Daphnia pulex: one gene and its partner. The protein of the gene in region 1 interacts with the protein of each later gene in a pairwise test. Links are inferred from orthologs where the notes say so. Each region holds a gene or a part of one and is shown on either strand. Other genes may lie near its edges.

Evidence for each region. The genes of interacting proteins can lie anywhere in the genome.
Region 2: the proteins of collagen alpha-2(IV) chain-like (region 1) and bone morphogenetic protein 2-like interact in binary tests that used the Drosophila melanogaster proteins (3 or more experiments, as listed by UniProt). The link is inferred for Daphnia pulex from reciprocal best matches to the Drosophila melanogaster genes Col4a1 and dpp.

What each region holds. Positions count from the first base shown.
Region 1 is NC_060017.1:3,258,735-3,263,384, forward strand, and holds part of collagen alpha-2(IV) chain-like, read left to right. Parts: intron 1-357; coding exon 358-600; intron 601-665; coding exon 666-890; intron 891-985; coding exon 986-1,174; intron 1,175-1,246; coding exon 1,247-1,363; intron 1,364-1,448; coding exon 1,449-1,613; intron 1,614-1,673; coding exon 1,674-1,881; intron 1,882-1,949; coding exon 1,950-2,044; intron 2,045-2,135; coding exon 2,136-2,516; intron 2,517-2,615; coding exon 2,616-2,991; intron 2,992-3,065; coding exon 3,066-3,187; intron 3,188-3,263; coding exon 3,264-3,426; intron 3,427-3,489; coding exon 3,490-3,729; intron 3,730-3,793; coding exon 3,794-3,829; intron 3,830-3,902; coding exon 3,903-4,028; intron 4,029-4,132; coding exon 4,133-4,347; intron 4,348-4,412; coding exon 4,413-4,650. UniProt on the Drosophila melanogaster protein: Collagen type IV is specific for basement membranes.
Region 2 is NC_060019.1:10,274,735-10,279,820, reverse strand, and holds the start of bone morphogenetic protein 2-like, read left to right. Parts: upstream 1-1,620; 5' UTR 1,621-1,960; intron 1,961-2,563; 5' UTR 2,564-3,122; intron 3,123-5,086. UniProt on the Drosophila melanogaster protein: Required during oogenesis for eggshell patterning and dorsal/ventral patterning of the embryo.

The DNA of each region.
Region 1 (4,650 bases):
GAAAACGAAAAAAAAAAAATTTGCAGACGACGATAATCTTTTAATTAGCAATACTTAAGATATCGATTAGAATTTATTAAAAATCGATCCCCCCATTCAAATTGCAAATTCCGAACCGCCAAAAACAAAAAAAAACGGTTTAATTACGCATAGCGGTATATAGGCTTACCAGTAAATGGCTAAAGCGTGGAACTGCTCTTATCTGCTCTTGTTTCTTGTTACTAATACCAGCAAAGCCTTTAATCTAGCCTTAGATTTTAAGATATACAAAAGGCAAGAATGTTTGTTTCACGTTTTATTTGACAGCCACAAATAATCCTTGCTGGATTCCAATCACGCATTCTTTTCAACATTTAGGGACCGCCAGGAGTACCCGGTAATCCTGGCCCTACTGGATTACCCGGATTCCAAGGTATGGAGGGTTTGGAAGGACCCAAAGGTGATAAAGGTGAACCTGGACCACAAGGACCTCGAGGGCCGAAAGGCGACCGTGGTAAAATGGGTATGCCGGGTTTCCCTGGTATCAACGGGATTCCTGGTATCCAAGGTCCACCAGGGCCACCCGGCATGAACGGCATGGACGGTTGCAACGGAACTGATGTAAGTATTTTTTAATTCGTATTTTATGCATTTTCTGACATCTTTTTACGGTGGAATTTGAAAAGGGAGCTCCTGGAGGAATGGGAATGGTTGGCGATCCTGGACCTCGTGGCTTGCCCGGTCTGCCTGGTGGAAAGGGAGAGAAAGGTGAGCCGGCTCAAGCTCCATTTCCCGGTAGCAAAGGACAAAAAGGTGAACCTGGACTGGATGGTGTTCGCGGACCCGCTGGATTCCCTGGCCCGGCTGGTTTGACGGGTGGCAAAGGCAACAAAGGCGAACGTGGTTTACCGGTAAGATACACCTTCCCCCGCCAACATCCTAATCTCGAATGATTTTGTTAAATATTTTACTGTTTTTTTTATGTTATTTTTTTGTACAAAATCAGGGATTGGCGGGTAAAGAAGGATTGCAAGGAGACAAAGGTCTGCCAGGAATCTGTCGTGAGAGTGGCAGAGGCGACAAGGGTGAAGCTGGACCCAAAGGCGATTCTTGTTTAGGGGGTAATGAATTTGAAGGAAAGGGCAACGTAACATACATAGGACCGAAAGGAGAGAAGGGTATGCTCGGCATGAAGGTAAACCTAACAAGTCAATTCAAGCTCAATCTTTTTAGCAGCTTAGTTTAATTCAATTTTTTTATTCAATAGGGTGATAAGGGTGACTTTGGGCCCGAAGGTCAACCCGGCTTTATCGGTGATGCTGGCTCAAAAGGAGATCTAGGAATGAAGGGTGAAAAAGGATTACCTGGACCGGCTGGCCCTCGAGTAAGTTTTTTAAACCTTTTTTTTCATTCACATTCAGTATGCGATCACAAAAAGCACATTCTAACTGTGTTGTTTCGTCATACAGGGTAAAGACGGATTCCCCGGACCTCCAGGACCAACCGGACAGAAAGGTGACAGGGGTAACGACGGTTTGGATGGACTTCCCGGTCGACCCGGCCCTAAAGGTGACGGCGGATTATCTGGAATTCCTGGTCTGCCCGGTTTGAGAGGACCACCTGGAGCCCCAGGAGTAAGTCTTAGCCGTCACCATAATTAATTTGAAAATTCAATATCTTAATATTTTGTGAAGGGAGGCAAAGGTGTTCCTGGACCCCCAGGCCCTGCCGGACCGCGTGGATTCCCAGGCCCTCCTGGTGGTAACGGTATTGACGGTCTTCCCGGCGATCCTGGTCCCAGAGGAAGTCAAGGTCCTCCTGGTGGTGCTGGCAGTCCTGGATTACCTGGAGCTGAAGGACCCGCTGGTGACAAGGGTGACAAAGGAGACGGTGGACTAGCGGGTAATTTTGAATCTCTGCAGTATTGTAAACATAAAAACACCTTCATTGCATTCCTGAATTATTTTAAGGCTATCCGGGTGAGCCTGGACTTCAGGGTCCACCCGGATCTCCCGGTCTTCCTGGCCTGATGGGTCCTCCTGGTGAAAAAGGAATTTCGATCGTGGTAAGTTATTGAAAAATGCGACATTTACTGATTGAGTTTGAATTTGCGATTGTTGAATTTTCGAAACCATTTTTCCCATAATTTGTGATAGGGCCCGAAAGGACTGGACGGACTTCCAGGACGTGACGGTTTGCCTGGTTTGAAGGGTGAACGCGGTTATCAGGGAATTCGCGGACCTCCTGGAGATGCTATTGACGGTATTCCTGGTACACCAGGATACCCCGGAATCAAAGGAGACAAGGGTCGTGACGGCATTCCTGGAACTCCTGGCCTACCAGGGTTCAATGGGGAGAAGGGTGACGCTGGAGTCTGCTTTGCCTGTAGCCCAGGCATTAAAGGTGACAGAGGAGACCGGGGATTGAACGGTGTCAATGGTCCACCTGGTCAACGTGGTGCCCCTGGCGAACGTGGGTATCCCGGACAGCCGGGTGACGATGGTCTTCTCGGTCCACCTGGTTTACCTGGTCTCGAGGTTAGCATAATGAATTTTCGCATGTTTTGTTCGGTCTAACTATCTTTACGTTGCCATATCATGACTATTTTCATTGTTAATAATTACTTAATACCTTAGGGTCGGTCTGGTGAGCCTGGACAGCCAGGACCCAAAGGTCAAAAGGGAGAAGTCACTATTATTCCGGATATTCTGGCACGAGGACCACCAGGTGACAAAGGAGATCGAGGTGAATACGGCCGACCCGGTCCACTGGGTCCTCCTGGTTTACGTGGACCTCCTGGACAACCTGGTCTCTCTGGTTTCCCTGGAATGAAAGGCGACAAGGGCCAAATTGGTTTCCCTGGATTAGACGGTACTCCAGGCACACCAGGTCTTTCTGGTATACCCGGCGAAAAGGGCGCATCCATTAAGGGTGAGCCTGGACGTGATGGACAAAACGGTGCCAAAGGTGATTCTGGTTTTGAAGGCCAGAAAGGCGCAAAAGGAGAACAAGGTACGAAAATTGTATTTTTGTATACCAACGATTTTAATTGTGTTTTTTATAATTCACATAATTTCTCTTTACAGCCCAATGTCTCGACGATCTTGTACTTCTCAAAGGATTGCAAGGACAAAAAGGAGAAAAGGGCGATATGGGCTTGAAAGGTGAAGGGGGTATGAAGGGTGAACCAGGACTGGAGGGTCTCAGGGTCAGTTGGAAAAAGACATTTAATTTTTCACTTTTTTTATTGAGAATTGACCTTTTTTTAATGTGCAACAATTCAGGGATCGATGGGAGAAAAAGGTGACATCGGTCCTACAGGACTTCCAGGTCCGCGCGGACCACCAGGTCAACGTGGTGACAAAGGCGCTTTAGGCCCCATGGGATTCCCCGGTGAAGATGGACCTCCCGGCAATCCCGGAAATTCAGGCTTACCTGGCATGAAAGGTTCAGTTTTGTACTTCATTTTAGCATGTTATCTCAAATTCTAAATCAATCTTCCATGTGCAGGCGGAAAGGGTGAATCTGGAATCCCTGGAATAGGAAGACCCGGACAGCCAGGCTTGATCGGCGAACAAGGAGAGAAAGGATTACCTGGACTACCAGGCAAGCCCGGAGCTCAAGGACCTTCTGGCCCTGGCGGTTTCCCCGGAGAAAAGGGTGACCGTGGAGTGGCAGGATTGGATGGCCTTCCTGGACCCAGAGGAGACAAGGGAGATTCAGGACCACCTGGACCGGCTGGGCCACCTGGTTATACAAATAACAATATATTAGATGATGATTAGTATTATTATTGTTATTATTATCAATGCAGGATTTGCTGGACCACCTGGTCGGGATGGCGGCAAAGGTACAAATAGTTTACCAGATATAGTTATCTTTTAGTTGACTCATCTGCAAATAACCATGAATATATCTCGCAGGCGAACCAGGCCTTCAAGGAGAAGCCGGACGACCAGGTTTACCGGGATTCCCAGGATTCAAAGGAGATCTTGGAATTGAAGGTGGCGTTGGTGCACAAGGCTTACCTGGACTTCCTGGACAACCAGGTAAAATAATGTTACACCACGTTTATATCAAGATTGTAATTTGACCTGCTTATTAATGCAACAAATCTCAATCACATTTTGCTGTTTTTTTTACTGACGATTAGGTTTGAACGGCCTGCCGGGAACTCCTGGTGCCAAAGGTGATCGAGGACCATCCGGTCTTTCGGGTCTACCGGGTGACGCTGGTCTTCCTGGTCTTGACGGACGCAAGGGCGACATGGGTATGAAAGGTGACCGTGGTAATCCCGGTCTAGATGGACTTCCCGGTAACCCCGGAATTGGAGGCGAAAAGGGAGACGTTGGACCTGCAGGTCTTTCTGTAGGTTAATCATAAATTGATCATTTGAGAATGGTACACTAAAATTACTGTTGCATGCAATATAGGGATTCAAAGGTGAACCAGGATTCACCGCTGACAAAGGACAGAAAGGCGAACCTGGAATACCTGGCATTCGAGGCGGTCCCGGCAATAATGGTTTGGACGGACGACCCGGCGAGAGAGGTGACAAGGGTGATCGCGTTGTGGGACTTCCAGGCCTTCCCGGCATCAAGGGAGACGCCGGCTCACCTGGATTGCCTGGTTTGGACGGCTTGCGTGGACCCAAGGGCAATGACGGTTTTG
Region 2 (5,086 bases), on another chromosome or scaffold:
ATTTTTCCCAATCGGAATCGTTTAAATGTTCCGCTTCGTCTTCTTGTTGCTGGCCAAAGAAGAAAATAACCAAACCTTTTTTTCTGGTTTTTTCCTGAAAAAATAAAAATTAAAGGGAATATTAAGTTCGTACATAAAATTCGGATCCGCCCAGTTGAATCTTTTTTTTCTTGTCTAAATTCTTCTTTTGGTAGAGATAACATTTTCGTTTCTTCGTTTTTGTTCGACCAGTACTAGAGAGGTAGATCCTCCCCTATTTTAACTCTATATGTAATTTATATCTATGTGTGTGTGTATTGAGAGGATGGGGGGGGGGGAAAAGAGCGGTCGAAAAAAACATTTCTGCCGGGTTTTTCTTTTTCTTTTCCGTCTTAATTACAGAGCAAAGTGCGCGGGTTATGGCGGAGGATGACTCCTTCTTCCAACCCACTCGCCAACCGAACTCGTATACAGAAGGGGGAGGAAAAGCCGCAATAGAGAGAGAATAAGCTGCACACCTGTGGACGAAAAAACAAAAATCCAATAGCCTCCAAATAGAAATTTTCTCGGTTGTTGTTGTTGTTGTTACGCTTCTAATACCATAGGGCTATGTAGAAGCGCGCGGGATTGGACGCACAAGGCTATGCAATCACGAACGCCGACGTGATTACAAAGATTGAGGCAAAAGAAAATTGAGAGGAGGACACACACAGAATAAAACGAATCTGAAAAAATCAAGGCAACCCACTTTTTCTTAACAGACGAAAACACACAACAACAACAAACACGAGTTGTGTGTAAGCCAATATTGATTACACGTGTACACACTGCGCCGCTGGTCGCAAATCATTCGATAAACAAGGGTGAGCTTGTACAGTTGAGCAATTTGATATGCCCTTTGATCATTGGTCGGTGTCTTATACATTTTTCAAAAGCTCATCATTTTGAATTTCCCGCTTCAATTTTAATTTCCGGGTTTCAAATTCACGCTGAAAACAAAAAATATACCTTTGAAATAAAAAATTGTGTTGGACATTGAAATTTGGCATGGCGCTGACAAGTATAGTGACCTTTTTCGAGTTGTCATTTTCTTTATTAGATTTCTCCTTGTATGGAAGGGGAGCCTTATATTTATTATATGGCCTCCTCTTCTTTCTTTTGCTCCTTCAGATTCATCCTGCGGAAACCTTGGACGACTTTTGTTCTCCTTCGGCTCCTTGTCATCTCTCATCTCTCTATTCCACCATGTGTATATATAACCGTTGGGGCTCCTGTCGCCACCCGACCCCAGTCACAAAAAAAGAGAGGGTCTGTTTTTACCTTTTAATTGCCCCATTCTCTTTCCCGGTATACGTTGTCGTTCGTCTCCAAAAATAAGAATCGATAGTCACTGGACGATACTTTTTTCCGATATGCCCAGGGAATGTTCGAGGGGTAAAAAACTAAAAAGAGAAGAAGCTTAAAAGCCACTCTAAATAGATGTATGTTTTTTAAAAAGAAAAAAAAAAAAAAAACCTTTTTTGGGGGTTTTTCTTGATGGGGTGACCATCTTGTTTTACCTTTTTCCCCCTCCTCCAAAGTGCTGCTGGCAATGTTGTCCCTGTGTGTGTGTTTAGATCGCCCTCTACCTTCGTGTACACAGAGAGAAAGAAAATGGTATTTAGTTTGGAAGAAAAGATATAGCCGATAGATATATATATATATATACAAACATTGGGATGCATTTCCAGGGGATTTTTATTTTTCGTCTGCTGGCTGCCCAGTGGAAGCGTCTCTTTCTACTCCTGGGCTCTCAGTCCTTCGTGTGATGTGACCAGTGCGGTTGGTCGGTGGCATTTTTCCCCCCTCAATTTTTCCTTGTTTGTTTCTTTTGATCGAATTTCTGTTTCGCCTCATCAAACGGAATTTCTTCTTCTCGGTGCCAAGAACCAAAACACCAACAAAGTTGTGCACCTGTGCATCCGCCATTTCCAGCAAAAAGGTGTTAGACTCATTAGATCCCCCCCACCCTACCTCACACAACACCTGTGTTTTCTTCATGTGCAACTTTTCCCGTCTGTTACTTTTTTGACACCTTTCCAGTCCCAGGTGGAATGGACCCCCACTTCAATTAAAACAAACAATAGACTGTGCAATAAGATTGATCAACATTTTGTAATTTCATTAAAAACTATCGAAAATCAATTTTTCTTTTTTGGGGGGAATGAAATTTCAGACATTTTGAGACGACAAAAGAGATGACCCTCCCTCCTGAAAAACCCAACCCAAAAACCTTCCAAGTTCCAAACGGAATAAAAACTTTTCCCCCTCCATTTTTCTGCCCTTCCCCCCCCCTCTCTTTTTCAATCCACCCCCTACTTCTTCTTCTTCTTCTTTTTGTCTTAAGTTTTCCACCTGGTTTTTCTTCTTCTTCTTCTTTTGTTTTTACCTTCCGAAACAAAAAAAGGAATATAAAAATAAAAAGTAGACGAAGGTTAAAAAAGAATATCGACCTTCTTCTTTTTATTTTTCCACCCAATCGTTTCCTCCTTTTTATTTTATTTTTAAATCGATATTTAATTCTGTTTCTTTTTTCTCCCTCCAGGGATTCCCGGTTGGACAATCCATTCCACGTGCGTCTCCCAGCCCGAGAGTGTGTGTGTTCGTGATTTATTTTGTTTTTAAAAAATCGTCGGTTATAAAATGCCCGCCAATTTCGTCGCCATTTTGAAACCCTGTTAGTTATTGGCTATTGCGTTCAGTGTTACGCCATCGTCAGTTGTGTGTCGTGAGTGAAGAAGTGAAAGTTGCGTCCAGTTGAATATATATATATAACACACGCCACGTTTGGACAACGGCGGCCGTTTTCCAATCCATCAGTTTGATCCATCGTGCTGTTGATAGTGCCAGGTGTGTTGTTGTGCCCATCATTGCGTTTTGGTGTCGTGTGTGTGTGTGTGTGCTATGAAGATCGGGCACTGCGTGATTGCCAGTCAGGGAGGATCGCCACCACCGCTGTGCTAAACTGCTAAAAGGCCAGGATGACACGGATCTCCCGCGGTTGTATCAGCAACGCACTCGCCCACTGCCAACTTCATCCTCCTCTCCCGCCCGTCCATCCATCGACTGGACACATCCAATCGTCATCGACTCAACAGTTCCAGGTTTTTAACAAAAATTTTTTCGTCTATTTTTTCAAAATTCCCGCAAAAATTTTGTAGAAAAATTTGAACTCGGTGGAATTTCACTGGATAATTTTTCAAACATATTTACTAAAAATCGATTTTTCGGGGAAGATTTATTTTTTTAAATTTTAACTTTTTTTTTACTGGAGGGTAAAACTTTTAAATTGGAAAAACAAAAAGAAAGATAAAAACCTTTTTCCACCCTCCAAATGAGGAAACCCAAGAAAGTTAAGGGGGAAGGGGATGCTGAGTGCTTTTCTTTTTTCCTGGAAGAAGAAGAAGAAGAAGATGGAAAAAAGGGACCAGAATGAGAAATACAAAACGGGGACAATAATAATAAAAGCACAAATACCCCCAGTCGATATGTGATGGAAACCGGTGGCCACGATTACGCTAATTAATCAAAATATTTTTAAAAATCCAAAATTTTTTAAAATCCCCGGCGTATCGAATAATAATTCCTGTCCCGTTTTCTTTTTTCGATCTGGGGAATTTGGAAATCTGAAAAAAGAACTTTTCAAGTTCTCGTGCCAACGTCGTTCATCTTGTGTTTAGATCTCGCGGGTGTTTTTAAAAAAAGAGAAAAAAAAAAACACGTAAGAGAGGAGAGAAAGGCAAACAAAAAACGAATGCGAGGGACCAGAAAAGGGACACAATCAAACTGCATCTAATAAATATTTGTCTCTACATATATATTCCAACGAATAATATGTGACCGGCGACATTGAGGCCAACAGCGAGAAAGAAAAAAAAAGAGATTTTTAACTTTTTTATTCGCTGTGGAACTTATCTCTTCTTATAAGATTGTAGCCGTTTTGTATGCGCACACACCTGGGTTACGACATATAAACAACTTCAATAACTTGCGAGCAGAGATAGGAGAGAATAAGGTTCTGGTGCCAACTTGTTGCTGGCCCCCAGAGTGGCCATTTTGTTGTCTGTAATGAACCGGCCGACAGGTGGAAAACAAATTCCTATCCAACTAGTCAGCGAAATTTTTATTCGGGAGGACGATCGTTCACACACAGGACGCATTCCATCTCCAGCTTTGCTGCTGGCCCCCTTTTTCTCTCTCTTATTCAAACAGTGACGCATCATCTTGCCCAGTTGCCGGGCAACTTGAGAGCTAGGTGTTTTCTCGTCCAACTGATTTGAAAGTTTTTTTTGAAATTTCCCCCCCCCACCGCTCCCATTTTGCGCAATTGTTTTATTTTCCATCCATGACCTATACAACGACGGATAGACGACGTCCAGCTTTGTGGATAATATGCAAAAATGTGGTGTTGGAATGGTGTTGATGGGCCAAGCCCCTCTTTTATCCATTCGCACCTTTTGACTGGAAATGCGCACCACCTGCTGTTAACTACTGGCCAGGGATTCCTGGAAAGAAGAAGAAGAAGAAAAACACCAACGCTTATCTAATTGGCGAGATCACAAATGGGAAGAATTCCAATGTTTATCCCCAAAAGAAAAAGAAGAAGAAGAAGAGAGAGCTCAACACCTGTGTACACACACAATCTCTCAACAGCTTGACATCATTTGCATATAATAGTCCTCCTCTACCGACGATGATTACATTAAATTATTATTACATCAAATAACTCCTCAAGAGATTTCAACATTTTTTTTTTCGGGTGGTTGCATCATCATCCGTATGTAGCGCCCGAGGGGGGACCTTCAACTCGCTTGTTGTTGTTGATAATTAACTGATTGCCGTTACGAAACGTCTTTTTGTTTGGTTTTAATCGCGAATATCAAATGAAAAATTAAATAAGGAATGTGGAAAAGAACAATGAAACATCAGGGAGGGGCCCGTCTCTTGTTTGTTTGTTGTTTGTACCTTTTTTCTTCTTTTCTTTTTGGAGGTTGACTCTGTTCATGAATGAATGAAGTCAAAAGATCAGCTGGGAGAATTAAAAAAGAAAAAAATATATATACCTGCC